Xenopus tropicalis: one gene and its partners. The protein of the gene in region 2 interacts with the protein of the main gene of each other region in a biochemical or structural test. Links are inferred from orthologs where the notes say so. Each region holds a gene or a part of one and is shown on either strand. Other genes may lie near its edges. The genes, in order: mapk12, sntb1, asnsd1, tanc1, slc16a7, gucy1a2 and frmpd4.

Evidence for each region.
Region 1: the proteins of sntb1 (region 2) and mapk12 interact in a test that uses a peptide from one of them, tested with the Homo sapiens proteins (2 studies listed by IntAct, with this or other methods). The link is inferred for Xenopus tropicalis from reciprocal best matches to the Homo sapiens genes SNTB1 and MAPK12.
Region 3: the proteins of sntb1 (region 2) and asnsd1 interact in a test that uses a peptide from one of them, tested with the Homo sapiens proteins (2 studies listed by IntAct, with this or other methods). The link is inferred for Xenopus tropicalis from reciprocal best matches to the Homo sapiens genes SNTB1 and ASNSD1.
Region 4: the proteins of sntb1 (region 2) and tanc1 interact in a test that uses a peptide from one of them, tested with the Homo sapiens proteins (2 studies listed by IntAct, with this or other methods). The link is inferred for Xenopus tropicalis from reciprocal best matches to the Homo sapiens genes SNTB1 and TANC1.
Region 5: the proteins of sntb1 (region 2) and slc16a7 interact in a test that uses a peptide from one of them, tested with the Homo sapiens proteins (2 studies listed by IntAct, with this or other methods). The link is inferred for Xenopus tropicalis from reciprocal best matches to the Homo sapiens genes SNTB1 and SLC16A7.
Region 6: the proteins of sntb1 (region 2) and gucy1a2 interact in a test that uses a peptide from one of them, tested with the Homo sapiens proteins (2 studies listed by IntAct, with this or other methods). The link is inferred for Xenopus tropicalis from reciprocal best matches to the Homo sapiens genes SNTB1 and GUCY1A2.
Region 7: the proteins of sntb1 (region 2) and frmpd4 interact in a test that uses a peptide from one of them, tested with the Homo sapiens proteins (2 studies listed by IntAct, with this or other methods). The link is inferred for Xenopus tropicalis from reciprocal best matches to the Homo sapiens genes SNTB1 and FRMPD4.

The regions. Positions count from the first base shown.
Region 1 is NC_030679.2:71,612,651-71,616,699, reverse strand, and holds the start of mapk12 (mitogen-activated protein kinase 12), read right to left. Parts: upstream 2,801-4,049; 5' UTR 2,434-2,800; coding exon 2,309-2,433; intron 1,775-2,308; exon of another isoform or gene 1,664-1,774; intron 1-1,663. UniProt on the Homo sapiens protein: Serine/threonine kinase which acts as an essential component of the MAP kinase signal transduction pathway.
Region 2 is NC_030682.2:138,721,935-138,726,036, forward strand, and holds the start of sntb1 (beta-1-syntrophin), read right to left. Parts: upstream 2,792-4,102; 5' UTR 2,725-2,791; coding exon 2,241-2,724; intron 1-2,240. Other genes in the region: uncharacterized protein LOC116411753, read right to left, coding at 2,792-3,069, 3,634-3,979. UniProt on the Homo sapiens protein: Adapter protein that binds to and probably organizes the subcellular localization of a variety of membrane proteins. May link various receptors to the actin cytoskeleton and the dystrophin glycoprotein complex.
Region 3 is NC_030685.2:47,714,720-47,718,219, forward strand, and holds part of asnsd1 (asparagine synthetase domain-containing protein 1), read right to left. Parts: coding exon 2,379-3,500; intron 1,423-2,378; coding exon 1,241-1,422; intron 1-1,240.
Region 4 is NC_030685.2:73,467,259-73,471,475, reverse strand, and holds the start of tanc1 (protein TANC1), read left to right. Parts: upstream 1-1,417; 5' UTR 1,418-1,767; intron 1,768-4,132; 5' UTR 4,133-4,217. UniProt on the Homo sapiens protein: May be a scaffold component in the postsynaptic density.
Region 5 is NC_030679.2:63,059,274-63,062,773, forward strand, and holds part of slc16a7 (monocarboxylate transporter 2), read right to left. Parts: intron 2,032-3,500; coding exon 1,231-2,031; intron 1-1,230. UniProt on the Homo sapiens protein: Proton-coupled monocarboxylate symporter. Catalyzes the rapid transport across the plasma membrane of monocarboxylates such as L-lactate, pyruvate and ketone bodies, acetoacetate, beta-hydroxybutyrate and acetate.
Region 6 is NC_030678.2:160,383,158-160,386,657, reverse strand, and holds part of gucy1a2 (guanylate cyclase soluble subunit alpha-2), read right to left. Parts: intron 1,771-3,500; coding exon 1,046-1,770; intron 1-1,045. UniProt on the Homo sapiens protein: Has guanylyl cyclase on binding to the beta-1 subunit. Isoform 2 acts as a negative regulator of guanylyl cyclase activity as it forms non-functional heterodimers with the beta subunits.
Region 7 is NC_030678.2:106,170,728-106,173,962, forward strand, and holds part of frmpd4 (FERM and PDZ domain-containing protein 4), read right to left. Parts: coding exon 2,869-3,235; intron 2,610-2,868; coding exon 1,392-2,609; intron 1-1,391. UniProt on the Homo sapiens protein: Positive regulator of dendritic spine morphogenesis and density. Required for the maintenance of excitatory synaptic transmission. Binds phosphatidylinositol 4,5-bisphosphate.

The DNA of each region.
Region 1 (4,049 bases), on a different chromosome or scaffold from region 2:
TAACTGTAGATATTAGTATCACAATAGCCTTGGATATTCTGCTTGTTCAAAAACTCATCCAGGCACCTCTTAAAGGCATTAACAGAGTCTGCCATTACCACATCACTAGGAAGGGCATTCCACAGCCTCACTGCCCTCAACGTGAAAAACCACCTACGCTGCTTCAAATGGAAGCTCCATTCCTCTAATCTAAAGGGGTGACCTCTGGTGCGTTGATTGTTTTTATGGGAAAAAAGAACATCCCCCAACTGCCTATAATCCCCTCTAATTTTGATTATTATATGATTTGAGGAGGGTATACGGCAGGGGGTCTGTTAGCCTTGCTGAAAAACACCCAAACTTGGTTAGCCATTTCCCAATAAGTGCAGCCTGTTTAACTAGGTACAGGATCCAGTCAACAAAATCTGTGGAAATAACCTAAAAATAAAAATCCTTTAAAGACATTACACATTAAAAGATACAGTTTAATAGGGGCAATGTCTGCCAGTTATTTTGAAGTAATAATGTCTCACAGACTGATCTATGCAGACCTTGAGCAGGCTAGAGTGGGTCATAAAAATCACTTGGAGACAGTGGGCCTCCAGTTGGTCTGTCCAGAGCTAGAAAATATGCATAGATATTTAGTAATAAGCCACTTGAAAGTGCCGTGTAATAAATAGCCATCATCCATTGCTGCTTTTTCCTTTACACTCTAGCTCTGCCAGAAGTTTCCCATTGACCTAAATGGGAAATTCCATAAAAATAATGGTGGTGTTAATTATGAACAGGCAGTGTAAAATAAAATTAAAGCCTTTATAAATGTGTCAGTTATTTTACACTGCTTTTTAAAGTGTTTTCAGAAGTAAATAAACAGTCCCTTTGTGTTGCTTTTTTATAGAATGCTAAATATGGTTCTAGCTGCCCAATTCTGTCAGCCAGGGGACATTTGAATGTTACCTGGACCTGACCCTGCTCGGTTGCAACAACAGTTTGGCTTGTTCTAAATATGTGAAATAATTAATTCTGTAAAAGCAGAAAATCAGTTTTTCAACAGACTTAAGCAAAGGGAAATTGTGAACAATACAGTACCTTATCCTTGGTAGCATTGCGGTGGCTGTAAAATGTTACAACTCTCTACATCTGCAGTAAGGGCATTAGTAACTGAACAAAGAGAACTACATTTTAGCTTTAAATTAATGTTTATGTACTAAATTATAAAGATAAAATACCCAGGGAACATACTATTTATTGCTAATCCCCACGGTTTTATAGACAATTACTCATTTCAAACATTTGATTAAACTACAAAATGCTCTATGATGATACTCTCACATAATTCAGTGCGACAGGGCTTAGATTGTAAATGGTATAGAGGCATATTTCATCTGCACCATTTTACAGTACTAAACCCGCATAAAACATGTAAAGTTTGTGGATATTTACCTTAGTGATATAGGAATCATGCAGGAATCATATAAACAAGGTAATATGCCTAGAATTCTCTATGCAGCAAGGAAATGTTATATAGCAAAAATGGAACACAAAGCTATGCCAAGTGCAACACAATACAACCATCTGGTGGCTCATAACCCTTTGGTAGTTGGTCAAGGGGTAGTGAGGTGAACATTTAAGACATGACAGACATGCAAATAAAACCCCAGAATTGTAAAAGGGATGTCTTTACCTGCATGTTCACTGCACAAATGTCACATGGGTGCCATAATCATGGGGTATAGCTATGGGTCTATACACACGGGGGTTTGTACCAGAGCCAGCAGCATTATTGAAATCATGTCTGAAAAGACAGAAAAACAGGGAACAATTTCCCTATGGAGCAATCTACACTGCCACTAGACAATTAGTGCCAAAAAATATAATTTACTTGTACTGAAATGCTCTATAGAAATGTGACCTATTTTTTAGCAATGCTGTGCATGTATAGAATACCCAGCTTGTACACAAGCTATTTTTGAGCTTGGCAATTTGTGTTTGTTCTTGTGTTTGTTCCATTTGCCAATAGAGACATAATACAGCATTTTAGGTCCAGCAAGCATTTTTGCAAGCTGAAGGCAATATAGCTGGCAGGTATAGAAACTTATGTAGAGTACTATGGCAATATCATTTGTTTGTGCCAGTTGAAATCGAATACACTGCATTATACAAAACCCTAACTCACAGTACTACAATGATATAGGACTCCAATGCAGTCTGCAGGGGCTGGCACACATATGGCTCCGCTCCTGTGATTCCTGGCACAGATTACACAAACCCACAGGTGTTGGTCCAATGAATGATAACTTTCATGAATATTTGGAGCATTGCAACTTACCAAACAGTGCCATAGGCTCCTGATCCCACAGCCACCAGGTCTCTGTACCTCTCCTTCACCTCCCAGACGGTCTTATTGACGTCCTGCCTATAGTATCCCTTCTTGGGCAACGGGGAGGTGGACATGGCTACTAGTTGCCAGCAGGCTCCTGTTGCACTAGTACTATGTGAATGTGGGTCCCAGGCAGAGTCACCTGACTGCTGATACTGGGCGGCTCTCCTGAGAGGTACAGTAATGTCACGGTGAGCAGTACTGACTTGTCCTGCTCTTATTCACCATGAGGGACCGGCTGCCTTCTTTACGTAGAACAGTCTCTTCCGACCAGCCCCTCTTTCTGCGTCTTCGCTCTTCGGTCAGCTCTCGCCTTCCACTTTCGTTTTCCTTTTGTCCACTGTGCGTATTTCCCGCACCCTCAGCCTGCACAGTAGCTGCCCAGTGACGGGAAGTATTTCCCATATAGAGCCCGGAGCTTTGTGCCGTCACGTGACCCGGCCAGTCCTTCTCCCCTCCCTTCTCCAGTGCGCAGATTAGTACTTAACCCACTCACTGCTCTAGTCCGACACAGTCCTAAAGTGATTTGGGAAGTTATGTGGCCGGGAATTCGCTCACACGTTCATACGTGTTATGACCCTTCGCTACAAGAAGACGATCTTTGCATTATTTTTCAATGTGAAGCTTTATGACCTCTCTTGGCATGAAGTGCCATTATTCAATTATTATTCAATAACCCACTGCTACTACTAGGCAGTTCAACCTAACAAATTCATTCTTCCCCAATGGGTTTTTATCAGACTCGGTTTACATTATTACTAATGCTTATTTGTAATTATTATTTGTTCGTCTGTGAAATTAGATTACACAGTTGTAATATCTCAATGTGGCTGTAGTCCCAGTGTACCAAATCTAGAACAGGCTTTTGTACCTGTAAATTTAAATTGCCATTATTAAAGGCCCCTGCTGAGCTCCAAATAATCTTGGGGCAAAAGAGCCAACTCAGCCTATTGTTATGCTCCTATAAATGCAACAGACTCTTTTGACACAATTACAAGCTATAAAAGGTCCCATTGTAATATTAAGTAAGGGTGTAGCTTAGTAGCTAAAAGGGTTGTGACCATAATGCTGGCAGCAGGGGCCTAAGGGGACACAAATAATATATTTTCCCATAGAATAACCAAAAATGCAGATTAAATGAGATATTTAGTAACGCCACATGCAAGGGTCAAGGAATATTGGTGAAGGGGTTGGATTAATACTTCCTGGTCAGCAGGGTAATTAAACCATAGCAACCAAATAACAGTCAAAACTCTAAGCCTGACAGCTGCAGAAGAAACTATAGGTTTTAATGACCTATCATTTCCCATTAGGGACCAGGCCCAGCCCCAAGGGAGCATGATATTCTTGGATGCTGTAGTGTAGTTTATACATTATATTCATGTGCAGCACCCTGAACAGACAGGTCCTGCATGCAACTTACACTATTTATATAGTGTTTGAGATGCAAGATTAAGCACGCCTAAACTCATGTGCGATTTGATTCAGCTTTATTTTGCCTGATTGTACCCGCCTGCATCAGGATCTGCATTTTAGCACAGCTGCGTTACAATGTATTTCCTTAAACACAACATGCTGCATTTTTATGCCTTTAACATGCCTTATAATTCAATCAAACAGTTGTCAAAAAATATGTTTTTATTTATTCAAGAAGTTGTGTGTTTATCAAGCTGGGTTCAAATGTGTTCTG
Region 2 (4,102 bases):
GAAACATAAAGATGCCTCTTGATATGTGTTTTATAATGATCTGTAAGAAATAAGATGCTTTGCAGGAAGGTATTTTTTGTTTTTGATGTAATATTGATTTATATGTTTTTTTGGTTTTTGTTTTTTGCTTGATTGAAATGTAATTATTGTTTTATTGTATTTGTTAAATATATTTTAATAAAATTCTCTCCCTACTATACCTGCTATCCCACAGCCCCAGTCCCTTCCCAGAGGCTATTATCCCACTGCTACTATAGGCACCATCTCTCCCTACTATACCTGCTATCCCACAGCCACAGTCCCTTCCCAGAGGCTATTATCCCCCCACTGCTACTATAGGCACCATCTCTCCCTACTATACCTGCTATCCCACAGCCCCAGTCCCTTCCCAGAGACTATTATCCCCCCACTGCTACTATAGGCACCATCTCTCCCTACTATACCTGCTATCCCACAGCCCCAGTCCCTTCCCAGGGGCTATTATCCCCCCACTGCTACTATAGGCACCATCTCTCCCTACTATACCTGCTATCCCACAGCCCCAGTCCCTTCCCAGAGACTATTATCCCCCCACTGCTACTATAGGCACCATCTCTCCCTACTATACCTGCTATCCCACAGCCCCAGTCCCTTCCCAGAGGCTATTATCCCACTGCTACTATAGGCACCATCTCTCCCTACTATACCTGCTATCCCACAGCCCCAGTCCCTTCCCAGAGGCTATTATCCCCCCACTGCTACTATAGGCACCATCTCTCCCTACTATACCTGCTATCCCACAGCCCCAGTCCCTTCCCAGAGGCTATTATCCCCCCCACTGCTACTATAGGCACCATCTCTCCCTACTATACCTGCTATCCCACAGCCCCAGTCCCTTCCCAGAGGCTATTATCCCCCCACTGCTACTATAGGCACCATCTCTCCCCTACTATACCTGCTATCCCACAGCCCCAGTCGCTTCCCAGAGGCTATTATCCCTCCACTGCTACTCTAGGCACCATCTCTCCCTACTATACCTGCTATCCCACAGCCCCAGTCCCTTCCCAGAGGCTATTATCCCCCACTGCTACTATAGGCACCATCTCTCCCTACTATACCTGCTATCCCACAGCCCCAGTCCCTTCCCAGAGGCTATTATCCCACTGCTACTATAGGCACCATCCCTCCCTACTATACCTGCTATCCCACAGCCCCACTCCCTTCCCAGAGGCTATTATCCCCCCACTGCTACTATAGGCACCATCTCTCCCTACTATACCTGCTATCCCACAGCCCCAGTCCCTTCCCAGAGGCTATTATCCCCCCACTGCTACTATAGGCACCATCTCTCCCTACTATACCTGCTATCCCACAGCCCCAGTCCCTTCCCAGAGGCTATTATCCCACTGCTACTATAGGCACCATCTTTCCCTACTATACCTGCTATCCCACAGCCCCAGTCCCTTCCCAGAGGCTATTATCCCCCCCACTGCTACTATAGGCACCATCTCTCCCTACTATACCTGCTATCCCACAGCCCCAGTCGCTTCCCAGAGGCTATTATCCCTCCACTGCTACTCTAGGCACCATCTCTCCCTACTATACCTGCTATCCCACAGCCCCAGTCCCTTCCCATAGGCTATTATCCCCCCACTGCTACTATAGGCACCATCTCTCCCTACTATACCTGCTATCCCACAGCCCCAGTCCCTTCCCAGAGGCTATCCCCCCACTGCAACTATAGGCACCATCTCTCCCTACTATACCTGCTATCCCACAGCCCCAGTCGCTTCCCAGAGGCTATTATCCCTCCACTGCTACTCTAGGCACCATCTCTCCCTACTATACCTGCTATCCCACAGCCCCAGTCCCTTCCCAGAGGCTATTATCCCCCCACTGCTACTATAGGCACCATCTCTCCCTACTATACCTGCTATCCCACAGCCCCAGTCCCTTCCCAGAGGCTATTATCCCACTGCTACTATAGGCACCATCTCTCCCCACTATACCTGCTATCCCACAGCCCCAGTCCCTTCCCAGGGGCTATTTTCCCTACTATAAGTATAGAAGTTGCTGTGCTAGCTGTACAGTCAGTGTTGGTGAATCTGTGGCACATTACAGACACCCTGTGGGTAGGACACCCCTATATTTGTGCTACAAGGTTGCTGCCATACACAAGACTGAAAGTAGAAGAATGTGAATGTGAGTGCCACCTGTGTGACCAGCCTATATCACATACATAGCCCAATGCCCAGACTTACCCTCCAGGATCACCTCCCTGCCAGCCTTCTTTAGTGCCTGCACCGCCTCATCATGAGTGGCATCCCTCAGATCCAGCCCGTTGACAGTCAGGATGGCATCTCCCACATACAGGGACTGGGTCTGATCCGCTGCCAGCCCCTTGAAGATCTTGCTGATGAGAATGGGCATCTTGTTTTCCTTTCCCCCCTTGATGCTGATGCCCAGCCCCCCCAGCTCCTGTTTGACCACCTTGACTGCCCTCTTCTTGTTGGCAATGGCCTCCGGCACGGTGTCGGGCAGTTCGGTGAAGGCAGTCCGGACCCCCTGGGGGCTGCTGTTGGTGCCATTGGTCATGCTGTTAGAGCTGGGGGCATCCTCCGGCCGCTCCGGGCTGCTCAGTACCAGGGAGCTCTCATACAAGTTGCCCAGAACTTTGTGCCAGCGGCCCCGCACCAGCACTTCCAGCCAGCCGCTCCGGAGCGCTCCTGCTGCAGCTACCGCCATGCCCGGGCTCTGGATCCCATAGCCAGTGGGTGCGGGCAGGACCTTCTCCGGGCAGTCCCGGTGCCAACTAATCTCTCTGCTGCCGATTCCTGCGGGGCGGAGCGAAACTTGGGGAAGCCTGGGAGCGCTGAGCCAACAGAGGCCAACAAGTCACACATGCCAGTGTGGAGCCGAGGGTGGGCACCGGGCTGTGCCAGGGAAGGCAGAGCACTAACTTCTTACTGCTCGGAACGGACCGGGAGCCCAGGCAGCACTCTGCCTTCTTCCTCATTAGAGGCTCTGCCGGATTAGCCATAGCGCACACTGACATCTGCCGGCGCTGCGGGGAACTGCAGCTGTAGGGGTCTGGGATTCCGATGTAACCCGCACAGCGCTGGGAATATGCCCCTCTGCCTGTGGCCCTACACTGGGCCCCACACTCGGCCCTACACTGGGCCCCACACTCGGCCCTACACTGGGCCCCACACTCGGCCCTACACTGGGCCCCACACTCGGCCCTACACAGGGAAATACACTGGGCCCTACACTCGGCCCTACACTCGGCCCTACACTGGGCCCCACACTCGGCCCTACACAGGGAAATACACTGGGCCCTACACTGGGCCCCATACTCAGCCCTACACTGGGCCCCACACTCGGCCCTACACAGGGAAATACACTGGGCCCCACACTGGGCCCCACACTGGGCCCTACACTCGGCCCTACACTGGGCCCCACACTCGGCCCTACACAGGGAAATACACTGGGCCCTACACTGGGCCCCATACTCGGCCCTACACAGGGAAATACACTGGGCCCCACACTCGGCCCTACACTGGGCCCCACACTCGGCCCTACACAGGGAAATACACTGGGCCCTACACTGGGCCCTACACTGGGCAATACACTGGGCAATACACTGGGCCCTACACTGGGCAATACACTGGGCCCTACACTGGGCAATACACTCGGCCCTACACTGGGCAATACACTCGGCCCTACACAGCTCCTGCTTGACCACCTTGACTGCCCTCTTCTTGTTGGCAATGGCCTCCGGCACGGTGTCGGGCAGTTCGGTGAAGGCAGTCCGGACCCCCTGGGGGCTGCTGTTGGTGCCATTGGTCATGCCGTTAGAGCTGGGGGCATCCTCCGGCCGCTCCGGGCTGCTCAGTACCAGGGAGCTCTCATACAAGTTGCCCAGAACTTTGTGCCAGCGGCCCCGCACCAGCACTTCCAGCCAGCCGCTCCGGAGCGCTCCTGCTGCAGCTACCGCCATGCCCGGGCTCTGGATCCCATAGCCAGTGGGTGCGGGCAGGACCTTCTCCGGGCAGTCCCGGTGCCAACTAATCTCTCTGCTGCCGATTCCTGCGGGGCGGAGCGAAACTTGGGGAAGCCTGGG
Region 3 (3,500 bases), on a different chromosome or scaffold from region 2:
GAACCTTCCCAGGAGTGGCCGGCCGACCAAAATTCCCCCAAGAGCGCAAAGACAACTCATCCGAGAGGCCACAAAAAACCCCAGGACAACATCTAAAGAACTGCAGGCCTCACTTGCCTCAATTAAGGTCAGTGTTCACGACTCCACCATAAGAAAGACACTGGGCAAAAAAGGCGCAAACCACTTTTAAGCAAAAAGAACATTATGGCTCGTCTCAATTTTGCTAAAAAACATCTCAATGATTGCCAAGACTTTTGAGAAAATACCTTGTGGACCGACGAGACAAAAGTTGAACTTTTTGGAAGGTGCATGTCCCGTTACATCTGGCGTAAAAATAACACAGCATTTCAGAAAAAGAACATCATACCAACAGTAAAATATGGTGGTGGTAGTGTGATGGTCTGGGGTTGTTTTGCTGCTTCAGGACCTGGAAGGCTTGCTGTGATAGATGGAACCATGAATTCTACTGTCTACCAAAAAATCCTGAAGGAGAATGTCCGGCCATCTGTTCGTCAACTCAAGCTGAAGCGATCTTGGGTGCTGCAGCAGGTCAATGACCCAAAACACACCAGCAAATCCACCTCTGAATGGCTGAAGAAAAACAAAATGAAGACTTTGGAGTGGCCTAGTCAAAGTCCTGACCTGAATCCTATTGAGATGTTGTGGCATGACCTTAAAAAGGCGGTTCATGCTAGAAAACCCTCAAATAAAGCTGAATTACAACAATACTGCAAAGATGAGTGGGCCAAAATTCCTCCAGAGCGCTGTAAAAGACTCGTTGCAAGTTATCGCAAATGCTTGATTGCAGTTATTGCTGCTAAGGGTGGCCCAACCAGTTATTAGGTTCAGGGGGCAATTACTTTTTCACACAGGGCCATATAGGTTTGGATTTTTTTTCTCCCTAAATAATAAAAACCCTCATTTAAAAACTGCATTTTGTGTTTACTTGTGTTATCTTTGACTAATAGTTAAATGTGTTTGATGAGCAGAAACATTTAAGTGTGACAAACATGCAAAAGAATAAGAAATCAGGAAGGGGGCAAATAGTTTTTCACACCACTGTATATCTTTCATAACTCTACCAGACTGCACTGTTAACATATATATGTTTATTTTTTGTTATTGTTACTGTACAATCAACACTGTCAAAACCTAATAAAAATATAAGTTACAAAAAAAAAAAAGAATACCTGATCCAATAGTCATACTGTAAAATAAATAGTCTAGGTTTGCAACCTACCTTGCTTCTTTTCCGTGGTCCCCAATGACACGGTCATCCCGACCAAGGTTTCTGTAAGCAATTCGGTCCAGTTCCAAGCTCAGTTCTTCCACGAGACCCTCATACCCAAGACTATTAAATCTTACACGGTGACGAGAATAGCCACCAAGTTGCTCATCTGCACCAATCCCTGTTAGCACAACCTAGAGAGAAAGTTAAGTAAAAATAACAGAATTGCGATTTCTCGTTGCTGTGATTTATGCCAAAGAATCACACATTAATGTTGAAGTAAAAAAATTAGTAATTTATGTTGAATAAGCACATATGTCCATAAAGTTTAACCTATTTGTCTAAATAAACTGTTGACCCAGAGGAAGGGAAAACACCATCTGAAAGGAGAAAAATTCTTTCCTGACCCCAAGGTGCCAATTGTACCGGTCCCTGATCAGCTTTGTATTTTATTCATAAGGAGTAGGCTGGGGAGGCACAACTCCCACCACACTGCCTAACTAGCACATTATACAGACTTACAATTTTCAAAAAGGTGCAGATCACCGCAATGGTCCAGTCGTAAGTGCTCAGTAAATGAGCCCTAAGAGGCAAAATATTGCACTTCTTGGTGCTTTAGTAATTGCATCTGGGGCATGGGTAAAATCATCATTATAGATTGTTGGTACCCAATATTATGCAATAATAAAAGCAAATCCCTTTAGCTATACTCAGCTACACAATAGGGAAAACCCATAAAAACACACTATGCCCTTCTAAATTTGTAAACTGTAAAATCAGTGTCTAGATTTAGCTGTTTATACTGGTGATTTGCCGTATAATAAGCACTATGTACATGTTTTGTGTTCTATTATGTTTATAGCCTACTGTGCTAATTATTTTACTGTACAAAAATAAACACTGCTGCCTGGGATTATTAGATATTCATAGGCTGGCTAATACAAAGCTATCCCATTTCACATATTCCCCTCTGCACATTGTAGAGAACCACCAGAAAACAAACAAATTATGGCCTTCCCATAATTTTGAGCTTTCTGTATAAGAGATCCCACACCTGTAGTGTGCTTTGTATTTAGCCCAATAAATTGTAGCATTTAAAAGTGGCTGTTTTCTTTCCCTCAATAATGTTTTAGGTTATTTGGATTATTACCTTTGACGTGCTATTGTAGGGCTTCATCTCATTATTACTCGTCAGCATACCTATTCCTCTTGAAGCAAACCAGACAGCACAGCCAATACTATCATCTAAAACAGTACTGAGAGGTCGTACCAAATAACAAATGCGGTGTTGCCTCATTTCCTGGAGTTCTTGTAGTGTAACATTAATTTCCACAAAATTCCAAGTTCTTGATGGGTTTAAAGCTTTGAGCTCTTCGAAACCTGACCTGCCAGTGATACGATCAGGAACATCAAATTGAGAATACGAAGTAGGACGGTCAGGGTTTGCAATTTGCAAAGTACACTTAGGTAGGTGTTTTTTTAAACCACTGGATTTTTGTTCTTTCATCATGAAGGCAACATTGAGAAGGTCAATAGGTTCCTCGGGTGGAACATGATGATCTGCAAGCACTGCTAAAATCATTGAGTCAATACCACCAGAAAACAGGATTGCAACATTTGCATTTTTTTCAGAATTTGACATTAAATTACATTCTCGCTGAAGACATAAAACCCTTCTCTTTACAGCTTCACTTAAAATTTTTATAAGAGACTGAGCATTTTTTTTGTGTTGGTCTGTGGCCAGCATCCTAAGATGTTCTACAGCAGTTTTGTTTTGAGAACTGATGTTATGCGATTTTTTAAACTCTTCAGGGATCTGTTTATTTAATGGAGAAACTGGAGCAGTTAACCATTTACTTTTTCCAAGTACAATAGAAACTAAAGAGGAAGATTTTAAAATCTGAGATTCTTTTGTTGGCAGAATATCTGAAGCAGTCTTCCAGGGATACCATGTTAATTCTATATATTTTAACTTGGCACTTGACTGTAGGTCACATCTGAAGAGTCCAGATGCTGGAACTTCCTGCCAATCATCAGAGTCTGATTCAGACCTGCACTCTGATACTGAACTTAGAGAGAAAACCTTGTTTAAATCGTCAGTGAATTTCCATAAAAGACTCCTCCTACCAAAAAAATCTCTTCCAAACCATAATTGGTGATAGTTAGCCTGATAGTAGATAAAGGCCCATGGACCTTTCACCTTAGCAAAGAGAGACATGATTTTGGATTCATCATCACATTTAGAGAGGTGCTGAAACATTATCTGAGTGTC
Region 4 (4,217 bases), on a different chromosome or scaffold from region 2:
CACCCATTAGGGCTGATTCACTAAAGTGCGTTAAAACATGCGTTATTTATAGCATGCATAAAAAATGTTATCGCGTCTAATTTTTCGCGTCTTAGCGCACGATTCACTAAAAGGATATTTGCGCTAATTTACGCGCGATACTGCTTGCGTTATTTTAGTCACGAAGACTATTTTCATGCAGTATTTGATGGAACGAGCGCTAATCAACGCACCGCGTATAAATAGTTGCCGCGTGTGAAAAAACGCACGCCATGTTAGCCGTACATGCCAATACTTTCGGAAAATTACTGTACTGAAAATGCCCATTTCCCTGCAAACTGGCGGCTGCATCACTCTGGGGCCAACACAGACTTGAATAAATCTCACTGCAAAGTCCATATTGTGTTGCCAAAAGCTCATTAACTGTACTTTTCTATAATTACCGCCTGCCTCAAGTAGGTGTTAATTTTCGCACAGACTAATGCGATATTTAGCGTGTCTCAGTGTTTGTGAATCATGCGTTAGTATTTATTTCTGCTTGCAAATTAACGCATGCGGTAGCGCGAAATTTAACGCATGCGATATGCGACTTAATGCACGCGATACTATTGTAGCGAATTGCGTGTTCATTTTTGTGTCTATTTTAACGCAAAAAAGCATGTGATAAAAATTAACGCACTTTAGTGAATCAACCCTATTGGCTTTTGTTGTCTAATTCCCGTGACTTCTAGAAGGAAACTTATAGTTACCATAACTGGAAGTGGAGTGGATCAGGGCTCTAGAACCTGTGGCAAGAAATGAGGTCCAGGAGCCGCTCCTCTATCCAGTTGTAGTGAATAAACCTAATTTACCATGATGCAACCTAGTGATGGTCAGCATTGGCCCAAATTCCTCAGCTTTACCGCAACCAGTATCATGGAGATCCCTATTGCTGGCATCAGTGACAGGGAGGGATCCTATTATAAGGGCAGGCACAGGAACTAAAGCAACAGGTCCAACTGACCCAAGCCAAGCCATTGACCTAAGCAGCCCATAGGAGGACCTGGCACACTGGGAACCAATTTGTCTATTGTACAGCAGCAGTTTACCTTGAATGAAATGTTAGCTTGATGCATGTTGTATTCAGAAATGTAAAACAAAATGACAATGGCATTACATATCCTGTGCATCCAGGGACAGAGTAGTCAGAATTTGTTTTAAAGTAAACTCTCCTATGAAGGAGTATAATATAATATTTTGTGCTGATTCCTGAGAGGTGGGGAAGCAGATTGTGCTGCACTGGCCTTTCCTTGTTCGGGTGTAGCTCTCAGAGCTTTGGCATCTGATACAAGACATGCAAATGGGAGTCATTTTAAGTTCCGCTTCCCATAAAGCTGCTGTTTCCCCCGGGGGAAGTTCTGTCACTGTCACAGTGTAATATTTACTTATCCAAACAGCTCCCACCGACTCCCCCCTCAGGCACCTCTGCCTTTCACTCTGCCTTTAGCTCTACCCTTAGCTCTGGGCTGTGCCCGATAGCTGGATGCGCCACCTATGGTTGCTGTTGGTACTGCAGGAGGCGGTGCGCTGGTGGGAGAGTTGCGCTCTCTGAAAGCCGCCTGGTGGGACAGTTCTGCCGGAGGGAGACGGGCTGAATCCGGCGGGATTAGCTGCTGTGCGCTGGGAGGGAGGGAGACCAGGAGCCTAAGGAGGAGGAATAGCGGCACCGGAGAGAAGTCCGGAGTATAGGGACACGAAAAGAGCCGACTGTCGTGGCGGCGGGAGAGGGTAGAAAGTTAGGAAGGAAAGGTAAGAAAAAGTGATGATTTGCTGCTGCCACTGTGGGGCAGGGGAGAAATAGAAGGCAGGGGAAGGTACGGGAGCAGTCAGAATGTAGGCAGGGAAAGTACGCGAAAAGTGAGTATAAATGGCCGGGAAAGTTGGGTAATACTGTAGGGAGGGCAGAATTGTGGGAAGGGAAAGGTGAGGGGCAATTGATGGCAGTGTAAGTAGGGGATAAGGATACGTAATAGTGTCGGTAGGAGAAGGGGAAGTGTGGGCAGGGGAGAAATAACTGTGTGGGCAGGGAGTTATGGGGATAAGTACTGATAGCATGGGCAGGTAGGTAGGGGGAAATAACTGTGTGGGCAGGGAGTTATGGGGATAAGTACTGATAGCATGGGCAGGTAGGTAGGTAGGGGAGAAATAACTGTGTGGGCAGGGAGTTATGGGGATAAGTACTGATAGCATGGGCAGGTAGGTAGGGGGAAATAACTGTGTGGGCAGGGAGTTATGGGGATAAGTACTGATAGCATGGGCAGGTAGGTAGGGGGAAATAACTGTGTGGGCAGGGAGTTATGGGGATAAGTACTGATAGCATGGGCAGGTAGGTAGGTAGGGAGAAATAACTGTGTGGGCAGGGAGTTATGGGGATAAGTACTGATAGCATGGGCAGGTAGGTAGGTAGGGAGAAATAACTGTGTGGGCAGGGAGTTATGGGGATAAGTACTGATAGCATGGGCAGGTAGGTAGGTAGGGAGAAATAACTGTGTGGGCAGGGAGTTATGGGGATAAGTACTGATAGCATGGGCAGGTAGGTAGGAGGGGAATAACTGTGGGGGCAGGGAGTTATGGGGATAAGTACTGATAGCATGGGCAGGTAGGTAGGGGGGGAATAACTGTGGGGGCAGGGAGTTATGGGGATAAGTACTGATAGCATAGGTAGGTAGGTAGGGGGGAAATAACTGTGTGGGCAGGGAGTTATGGGGATAAGTACTGATAGCATAGGTAGGTAGGTAGGTAGGTAGGTAGGGGGGAAATAACTGTGTGGGCAGGGAGTTATGGGGATAAGTACTGATAGCATAGGTAGGTAGGTAGGTAGGGAGAAATAACTGTGTGGGCAGGGAGTTATGGGGATAAGTACTGATAGCATGGGCAGGTAGGTAGGGAGAAATAACTGTGTGGGCAGGGAGTTATGGGGATAAGTACTGATAGCATGGGCAGGTAGGTAGGTAGGGAGAAATAACTGTGTGGGCAGGGAGTTATGGGGATAAGTACTGATAGCATGGGCAGGTAGGTAGGGAGAAATAACTGTGTGGGCAGGGAGTTATGGGGATAAGTACTGATAGCATGGGCAGGTAGGTAGGGGGGGAATAACTGTGGGGGCAGGGAGTTATGGGGATAAGTACTGATAGCATAGGTAGGTAGGTAGGGGGGAAATAACTGTGTGGGCAGGGAGTTATGGGGATAAGTACTGATAGCATAGGTAGGTAGGTAGGTAGGGGGGAAATAACTGTGTGGGCAGGGAGTTATGGGGATAAGTACTGATAGCATAGGTAGGTAGGTAGGTAGGGGGGAAATAACTGTGTGGGCAGGGAGTTATGGGGATAAGTACTGATAGCATGGGCAGGTAGGTAGGTAGGGGAGAAATAACTGTGGGCAGGGAGTTATGGGGATAAGTACTGATAGCATGGGCAGGTAGGTAGGTAGGGGGGAAATAACTGTGTGGGCAGGGAGTTATGGGGATAAGTACTGATAGCATGGGCAGGTAGGTGGGCAGGGGAGAAATAACTGTGTGGGCAGGGAGTTATGGGGATAAGTACTGATAGCATGGGCAGGTAGGTAGGTAGGGGAGAAATAACTGTGTGGGCAGGGAGTTATGGGGATAAGTACTGATAGCATGGGCAGGTAGGTAGGTAGGGGAGAAATAACTGTGTGGGCAGGGAGTTATGGGGATAAGTACTGATAGCATGGGTAGGTAGGTAGGGGAGAAATAACTGTGTGGGCAGGGAGTTATGGGGATAAGTACTGATAGCATTGGCAGGTAGGTAGGCAGGGGAGAAATCCAGCAGGGCATATGGGTGGAAGGGACAGTGGGTGGGTGGCACCAACATTACACCTATTATATACGGAAAGGGGTAGGGGTGTCTGGGGGCTGTCAGGATAACTTTCCTGGAGATATTTTTTTATTATTGCGCAAGGGCAATTTACCCTTACTAATGAGGCATTAGAGCAGATTCACCATTCTCCTTTTTGTATCTTTTCCCTTACACCAACTTTTCCTCCACTAATTGGCAAGGAGCAAACCAGGATATCTGCATTTATCAGTGCTCATGTTAATGTCTCATTAGTAAATGCAATTAACTCGCTGCAATTTTATCATTTTCTTTAATAGAATTGCACCTCCTCCCATCGGTCTGTTGCCTCCAGGCTGGGCAGTGTGCTGCTATAAGAGCTTGGAGATCCAGTGCCCAAACAGT
Region 5 (3,500 bases), on a different chromosome or scaffold from region 2:
CCATTATATGGGGCTTATCTACTAGTTATCTGCTATGTAACCTGTGCCTTTTCTCCTTTTTTCCAGCTTGAATGGCTGCCCCCATGGCTACACGGCAGCTTATTTATATAGTAGCTTTTCTGTAGCAAAAACACCAGTTTTTTGCAGAGCAACAGCACATTATATTTTAATTACTTTAAAGCACTTTAATTTTTTGATGTTACTGTTCCTTTAAGCAGAGCTCAGGAGAGGAGTTTAGGAGAAAAAAAATAGGAGCAGGAATATTCTGCTGGTTCGTAAATAACATATATTACACAACCAATTCTGTATTGTTGGTGCAATTTTTGTGGAGACATTCTGTAAAAAACAAAACAAAACACTATTTTGGGAAAACAGTGCCAAGTGGTCAAATTTTTACACTTTTAAAAATCCTTCAGTGCATGGGCACGAGTCTGCTCATCTTGCTCCTCTCTCCCCCTCCCTTTTCCTCCTCTCCCTCCCATCAAAATTTGCTCCCACCTCCCATCTCTGTGTAAACTGAGCTATCAGCAGCTAGAGCTGCACCATGGAAGCTACTAAGACCAAGCTAAAATGGCAGCTCCTATCTTAAGCAAATACAGGGAACTTCTAGGGCTGTTTAGTCAGGTATGGTAAAGCTTTCTGCAGAATAAATATAGCATTCTAGCTTGCATTATTGTGGTTAATCTATTTGCAATAAAATGCCAAAATGTATTTCCTTCTCATTTAAGTGTATAAACCCCAAGGTGTTCTTAGCCACAACCCTCTCAAGAAGAACTGCAATATTTAAAGCACCCTTAACCTCAGAAACTACATTGCATTACTTTTAAAAGTCTGAATATCCTAGTACTTTGGGAAAAACTGACTTCAAAAGCCAAATCACTGCTTATAGAAAAAGAGGGAAAGTGTCAAAATGTATTTAAGTTGCCAGCCCCTTCTATTTGTAGATACTGCAATGGGAAACACACTGACTACGTCTTGCCGTAAAGTGCCTTGGGTGAATAGAGCAAGAAACGTTGTTGTTCTTAAGTTTAGACTTTTTTGCGGCTTTCATTATTGCTCAGCAGAATTAGATCAAAGTGTTAATTTAGATGTGAAATGAATATTCTATTATACTATGTTTTACTGAAACATTACTGGAAAATCACTGGTTAATCTATAAACCCTTTGTCATAATATGCTGTATACATATATATATATATATATTTTTTTTTAATCAACAGGAATTCTTACCTCCTAATGGAGGCCCAATCAAAACCGGGCAGCATTCCACAATTGTTGTAAGTCCAACAGCGCTGGAAAATCTTGCAGCTCCTACAATGTCCATTAGTGTCTCAAACAGGACGCTGCTCACCATTCCAAATGCAAATCCAAAAAAGACAGCATAAATCACTAGGCCAGTGTAATCATTGGCCAATGGACATAAAAGATGGCAGACACCATTATACAAAATTGCAAAGCTAAAAAAATATTGAATTCTGGGACGTATAAATCTAGTGTTTGCAACCATTCCCATTGTTGGTCTGGCAACCATATCTACAAAAGCTAGGATAGACAGCAAAAAAGCAGATGAGTATTGATCTATACCCATATGCTTTGCATAGGGGGCAAGGAAAACAATAGGAGCAAAAAAGCCAATAAACATGATAACATTTCCAGATAAATAAATTAGAAATCCCCTGTGCTTAAAAAGTGATAAATCTAAGTATTTGTTGATGCTTTGACAAACAGATTCTTTTTTCTTGTGGTTTTCATCATCCTTTGGTGCTTTTTCAATATCTTTTTTCACAGGCTTTGGTCCAATTGGCCTCATGAGGGAGCCAGCCACACAGCAGTTTAACAGAAGACCTCCTAAGATTAGAAAGCTACCCCGCCATCCAAATTGATTAAAAAGAAATTGATTCAGTGGAGCCAAAGTGCTTAAAAACACGGGACTCCCAGCCATGGCAAGTCCATTTGCTATGGGGCGCTTTTTGAAGAAATACTTTCCGATAATTGTTAAAGAAGGCTGAAGATTAAATGCTAATCCAAAACCTGTGGGGTAAAATAATAAAACACATCTTAGTTGGAAATTCTTCATTGAGCATAACCCTAATATTAGAGTCCCCCAGTATTCCAGGCATAAAAATCAAGATATTTTAAGTCATGTCCCCAGTCCTTCTAGCTCTTGCCTACTTTTCAGTGTCAATAGTTATTAAATCTAGCCAGCATTTTGAAAAGCTTAAGAGAAAGGCCAGCAATTAAGTCTTATAGTGTAGTATAGTATTTCTCCTTATTAGTTATGTAACCAGATGTCTAGATTTGACATTGTCTTTCTAATGGACACCAGTGAGTTTTTATACCACCTCCAGAGTAGGGTTGTTATACTATGCCACCAGAGTTAATTATATATATCTTACCATCCACTGATGGTAGATGTGTATTTACAGAATATGTTTGCTTTCCACCTGGTGACTAGTAATTGCTACCTGCTAACTGGTTGCTAGGGGTTACTGCTTCATAACCTCATATAGGTTTCAATGGGCAGTATTCATTATCCCCTTGACTATGCAGATCTTTCAATTTCAGGATAAACTGAATTAAATCTTCTTTATTGGATCCCCCTTTTAACCTTATGATTATAGGTGTAATACATAAAATGCTAAAATAGTGTAAAATACCTTTTAAAAATTCTATTTTAGATTAAAATTACACAACATTTTAGTTGAGTTGTAAATGCATATCAGAAAAACATCCCAATTTTGTTAATGCCCCAGCCAGCAGTTAGTGGTCTTTAAGCTCTCAAACATAGTTACACGTGTAACTATGGTGCAATATAATAACCCTACCCTGTAGGTGGTATATAAACCCACTGGTGTCCATTAGAAAAATTGTTAAATCTACATATCTGGTTACATAACTAATAAGGAAAAATACAACACTATAAGAGTTGCTTTTCTTTTATTGTTTGATTTTTGGAAGGTGAGTGAGCCTGAAGAAGAGTCAAAACACCGGATATCATTTGTCTTGCCCAATTATGCCTACCAATGCCCAAGATGATTCACAGTTCTGACTGTTCCAGAGAACATTAAGAGGTATATAATAATCCTTTTTCTGAAAAAAAAATCATATTCTGATGTTTTAAAAATAGAAAATATGAAGCATAGCTTTATGTAAACAGCAATGTAAACTTTAATTACTTGACACAAAGGGTCATTCACAACTTCTATACCAAAATATTTTATTCTTTAAATGAGAAATGCGTATGCTTACCTGTGAAGGATTCCATACAAACATGTCAGTGGTAAATTCTTCTGCAAAGTTATAAAACAAGCAATACCTCTAAAGAGCTACTCACTTATGGATTATTTCACAGTAAGACCAAAGTAGTAGTTACCTCTAAAAGGTTATGAGATTATTTATTGTTTTGTTTGAGTGGCAACATAACCATTTGTTCAAGGAAGAAAGCTTTCCTGAAAGCTTCTTTTTTTACCAAATAGCCCAAACTGGGCATAAGTTTCTAT
Region 6 (3,500 bases), on a different chromosome or scaffold from region 2:
ATCTTATTGGTTGCTATGGGCTACTACTCCTGGGAAAACTTAGTACCTTTAACTACATATGGGGGTAACTGTCTACTTAGAACTGAAAGGGACTAGTCACCTCTTACAGTTCACGTATGCAGCCCTACCCATTTCGCCATTGATTTAACTTCCTCAGAGGCATTCAAAATAATGTGCAAAGTACAAATAAATGGGCAAACTGCATATTTTTGGTCACTAAATTAGTACTACTATGTAGACAATTGGAAGTGCACAGATATACAGTATTTAGTAGAATTAAGTCTAAAACAACTGATGATCTACAAGATCTGTGTACTTGTCTATGAAGATTCTCATTCATCCAGGTCACGATTTACAGTATCTAGTAAAATTAAGTCTAAAACAACTGGACTTTTCTGAGTTTTTCTTAAAAACGTTTCACCACTCATCCGAGTGGCTTCTTCAGTTCAAAGAAGTGGTAGGGAATTCCCCGGTATTTAAACTCTTGATGGTAGTACAGTACCGGGGAATTCCCTACCAGTCATTTGAACTGAAGAAGCCACTCGGATGAGTGGTGAAACGTTTTCAAGAAAAACTCAGAAAAGTCCAGTTGTTTTAGACTTAATTCTACTAGATACTGTATATCATGACCTGGATGAATTAGAATCATCATAGACAAGTGCACAGATCTTGTAGATCATCATATTACCTACTCTAGGGGGCTCGATCCACTGAAAATTTGACCAAACTTGAAGGGGGGTACTTGAGGTTAAGGGGATCCTGAGAAAGGTTTGTTCTACCAATGGGGACCAGAGCACAAAAAGTCCACAGACTCCGAAGTTCAAAGTATCAGGTACCATGCCATTATACGGCCGCATACAATGCCTTGAATATTGATCTTCTCAAAGTAAATTGTATGCACACATCCTGTATAAAGGCCTGTCCACCAACCTGTCCTTGAGCCATCCAATTTTATTTCATTTCTTGAAATACAAATCCTTTACATTATGTACAATTTATTTTACCACATGTACTTTTAGAAGGTTAAAGAATATAAGCCCCTTACCTTGTCTTTATTTTCAAAGGTGGGTGCATCTGGTTTATTCCGTATGACAAAGGGGGTGGACAGCCTCAAGAGGACCTGTTCAAACGTGCAGCTGATTTTTGGAGACACTATTTCGAAACTGTCATGAAACTGCATCGTTTTGTGGACCTCACATTTTATCAGCTTCCTGAGTCCTTCTCCGAGCTGCAGAATCAGCATGTTTGGATCAAACATCAAATGGAAAGGAAAAGCTCTGCAGAAAGTGCTAATACTTATCCTCAAATCTGATGGGATGTGGGATGATTGCAGTAGAGGTGCTTTCATGAGATTTGCATTATCACATTCTTTAATTTTAAAAGTAAGACAGTTAAAGTTACCCGGTCTTATGATATCGGGGCAAGGTTTTTCATTCACATTGTTCACTTGTTCCACCTCAACCTTTAACTGGTAGATTTTCTTTCCTGCTGCCTTTATCAAACCCTTCATGGCAAACCCAACAATATGATGAAGATGGAAGCAGCTAAGTAGTAGGGTCCCGTCGGCAAGCTCCTTGCATAGGAAAGATGGAGATTCAAGAGTCACCTGTCTTCCAATTGAAGTCCTAATGTGTTCCAATAAAGCATCGAACCCATTGAAAAAGTCATGTAGTGTACCTCCCACTGCTCGGAGGACCCTTTCATTCTCCTCAAAGCAGATACTGAAGAATTCTTCACCAAATCTCTCTTGCAGTTCTTCAAACTTTATACCTGCAAGCAAAATGAGTTTCTTAGTAGCATTATCATTCTCGCCAATTGATACATGTCAGGAAACAGTCATAGAGTTCAACCGTTTTTATGAACCTTTAAAGTGACACTGACACTAAAAAAAACTACTCATCAAAATATTAATGTGCATTGAAAGTTACCCACAGGCCATGCTGATTGTTTTTCACTGATAGGCTTTTATAAGCACATGTATGGAATCAGTTGTCCGGAAACCCATTATCCAGAAAGCTCTGAATTACGGGAAGACTGTCTCCCATAGACTCCATTTTAATCAAATAATTTAAATTTTTATAAATGATTTCCTTTTTCTCTGTAATACTTGGTCCCAACTTAGATACAATTAATCCATATTGGAGGAAAAACAAGCCCATTTGCTTTATTTAATGTCCAAATTACTGAAAAATCCCTTATCTGGAAAACCCCAGGTCCCAAGCATTCTGGATAACAGATCCCATACCTGTAATTGTTACATGAAATTCCTCATCCTGACAGTTACAGCTTCTAATGCTAACAGATTATGGCTGCACAAATATGGCAGCCCCTTTGTAGAGAAAATAGAGTAAAAAATGGCAATTAGGCTGTTTAATATTGATTTTTGGATGGGATTGCAATTAATGTATGCTCCATTTAAAGGAGAACTAAACCCTAAAGATAAATATGGCTAGAAATTGGTCATATTTTATATACTAAACTTACTGCACTGGCTTAAAGTTTCAGCATCTCTATAGTAGTAAGGATCTAGGTCTTTACAGTTGTCACTGGAGCTCTCCATCCTGGATTCTGTTAGAACATTCTGGGACACTGCACATGCTCAGTGCGCTCTGAGCAGCAGTCGCAAATCATCAAGCAGAAAATGAGGCTGGCCTGTCATATAAGCTGCTGTTACAGGGCTGATCATTAAATTCTGATGCTAATTGCACTGGTTTCAGAGATGCCATGTTGGAATTATCTGTATTAATTACAAATCAGCCTTATAATCACCCTGATAACTTTAAGAGCAAAATATACATTTTTTGAAACCAGAATTCTGCTATTTTTATAATTAAGTTCTCTACCCAAGCAATACCGCACCCAGTGCCCCCTGTTTTGGCACAGTAGAAGTTGGGGTGGCATTGCCAGGAAGGCTAGAAGTGCCACTGACTAGTTCAGCCCTTTATAAAGCTGCCCAAAAATTCTACACTGAAACACGCGACTATTTGTATTTCCAGCAATAAAAGAATTTAATGCAGACAACCAAAGCTTTCCTATTCACAAAACCAATGATTGACATAGCCCTGGCTAAAACACATATGCTAGGGCGGGTACTCTACCCTCATAGTGTCGTATGTCAGACCTGTTTGTCTCCTCAATGCTGATAATGAACAATCTGTCTAACTTCCTGATGGATATAAATAGAATGGCACACTTTAGTATATCAGGAAATCTACTGCTGCGAGGCAAATTGCTTTACTCCCTCACAGAAGATTAGACGTCAGAGATTCACATTTATTCATTCCTTCCCCAGTGCTAGTGGGTACTAGGAACAGTGTTTAGCTATTCGTATGTCAAAAGCTGTCCCTCTTCCGCCCCCTCGGACAGTATTCTATGATGGCATTGTTTCAGAGTCCCACAAATATGTCTCATTTGACTAGGGTTAGATTAAAGTGTTCTGGTTTTGGTTGTTTCATATTTTTATGTAGCCCAAAAACTTACTAAAACATGTCCCAAAAGAC
Region 7 (3,235 bases), on a different chromosome or scaffold from region 2:
AAATGAAGATCTATTTAATATAAATATTTTTTCGCTATAGTATTACACATTTCTTCAGCTTTAGTTGCTGTAGATAATGCCACTTTATTTACCATCTGTGTTTGTTTATCCTGTGTGTTTGCACTCCTGTATCAAGAAGTATATAATAAATTAACCTTTGACTAACTGCTATTAATATAATAAATTGACATCATAGTTATTAATATAAAGCTTTTGTAAATGTATTTTTTATTGGTCTAGATTTTATTGTATTGTGTCAGCTCTGTAACTACAGCCTGTTCTTTTCTTAAAGGTAAAAACTAATTTAGCTTTATCAGAAGTATATAATAAATTAACCTATGACTAACTGCTATTAATATAATAAATTGACATCATAGTTATTAATATAAAGCTTTTGTAAATGTATTTTTTATTGGTCTAGATTTTATTGTATTGTGTCGGCTCGGTAACTACAGCCTGTTCTTCTCTTAAAGGTAAAAACTAATTTAGCTTTATCAGAAAAGTCTATGTAAATACAGCCATAAGCACTCACAGAAAGGTCCTCTATCAAAAGAAACAGGATTTCTTGTCTCATTTTTTGTTAACATGTTCTTCTGGTATCTGATCCTCTCTCAGAAAAAAACCTTCATTCCCTGGCCAGAGTCTGCGCAGTTCTCTCCTCTCTCCTGCTCCCCCCTCCCATAAGAATTCATAAAACTCACTCCCCCTCCCTTAGGAATGTGTGATCTGAGCTATAAAGGCTAGAGCTGCAAGCAGGAAGCTATGAAGACCAAGCTAAAATGGCAGCTGAAATCTTAAACAAACAGAGAAAGCTTCTAGGGCTCTTTACTCAGGTATGGTGATGCTTTCTGCAGAATAAATATAGTGTTCTAGGTGGCACTAATGTGGCAAATTTATTGGCAGTAAAATGCCAAAATCACTTTCCTTCTCCTTTAAAATGAATTCTAGATAAAATATGTTTATGCTCCAAAGCCTTACAAAAATAAATATTTTTAAGTTAAGATATGTGTAACCATGTCATTTTTTAAGAAAAAGATTAAGGGATAATAAAGAAAGCTTATGTCAAGAGACCAAGCAAAATCACAGTACCTTGTAGATATATATTTTATGCAGCTTTAAATGTAAGAATTTTAACTACAGTATTAGAGAAAAATTGAACTGTTATACATTTTAATTTAAAGCCAGTTTTGTTAGCTCTACCGTGATTGGAAAAAAAAAAGAAGGCCGCTGTTGTTTTGGGGGATTGTTTTCATCAATAAACTTTACATAATCCTGATCCATAACAATTCTTTAACTGAGATCCTAGCTACTAAAATTTCACAAATGGAATTCCATTACATGACTAAAACTTATAGGGAGCAGTAATAAATTAGAAGCACATAGTCATGTACCTGTGGTTTCTTTAATTTTTGAAACACGGTGACATCCATCTCTTAAAGTGCCAAACACTGGCTCTGCATTGACTGGTGCATGCATAACTGGCACACTCATTCTATGACAAGCAGCTTCAGTTTGTTGATGTAATTCTGTAAATGGTGCCCCAAGATTTGGAAGCATAGAAGATCTTTCATCAAGGGGAATCAAGACACCACTCTTTACTGATGCATCACAGAGAATATGTTTTACGTCACCAGTACACAGAGGAGACTCCACAGGGGTTGCACATGAACTGCTACCAGTACTACATCCTGCATCCACTGAAGAACATTGGGAACTCTGAAGAGAAAAATGTCCCTCACTCTGAAAAGATGAAATGTTCTTGGCTATATGGTTATCACCAGGATCTACAAGCTTAGACATGTGTTCTGCTGAGGCATCATCAGCATTTGGGATAGTATGTTCTTTGGATGGAGACATGTAATTTGCATTTGAGATATATATATCTTCTTGTTTAAGTCCAGATAATGTAATATCATTCATTTCTTCTATTATATCAGTCTCTGTTTTCCCAACACAAGAAAGTCTTGGCAATGTTTTAATATGGTGAGCATCTGTTGATAGCTTATCACTTGCACTTCTATCTGCAGTATTATACCATCTTTGACTGTCTTTACGAAAAGCTGTCCTTTCTAGGTTAAAATTGGCCAGATGCTGACAGTCCTTGGATTTCAGTTCACCATCAGATTCTGGTCTCTTGCCAATTTGCTTTTTAACCATAACATTTACATCAAAATGCGATTTTGCCTCGGCATCTGGTAGCTTGTTCTTCTTTTTACAGGAGTACACCAGAGTACCCATGTGCACCTTATTAAAGTATTCTGACACAGATTTTATCTCCATTGTTTCTGGTTCCATCTCAATGTTATCCGAATGGATGACCTGTTTTGAAGGCACAGCTTTTGATTGCAGTTCCGCAGCTTGCCGATTTATTGAAGACAGTGTGGCTTTGATAGTTATACTTCCTGTTTGACCCTTGGAAACAGAAAAATCAGTTTGCTCTTCCATCAGGGATTGGTAATCTTCACTAACAGGCAAAATGGTGCGTGCTGAAACTTCTGGATGTTTCTGTGCTGTTGCTAATTCAGAACTTTCAGTCATTTCTGAAGAATTTGTCTCATTACCAGAATCAGAAGATGACTCAGGACTATATGCTCTTAACATTGTTACACCTGTACACCACAAAAAAAGGAGCATATTAATAAAGGTTATACTTTTCATAAATACCATTTAAAGTGTTAAGTATATTTTTAATCGGTTTAATAAAAAAAGATTAGGGTGAAAAAAACATAAATTAAAAATTAAGTCCAATGAATACGATGAAAGGTGGTCTGTATGTGAAACATGATAAAAACAAAATACAAAAATATGTGATGATTCATATGGATGGAATGGTATGCTAATGAATAAAAGTTACAATGGTGAAAGAACCTGAGGTGTCATCTCTTTGGTTTTCCTCAGAGACAGTCAAATCTTGCAGTGTCTGAAGATCAGAAACACTTGTTTCTTCCAGGATTGTTTTAAGTTTTTCATCTGTGTTTGTAGGAACTGCATCAATGAGAGACACAGGGATATCATCATGAGATATACTGTTAGCTGCTCCAGAGGGTTTCGACAAATTCTGACAGTCTTCTTCATCTGAACTGTCCCGAAATCCAGGTGGTGGAGCAGCAATCGCCATATTCAGCGAATGCAACAAAAAATCATCTTCATTATCATCGCCTTCGGGTGGAGGAAGTGATGTCAGGTCTATGATGTCATCACTAGATCCAGACATGCTGAGAATGTCTGTTTGGTT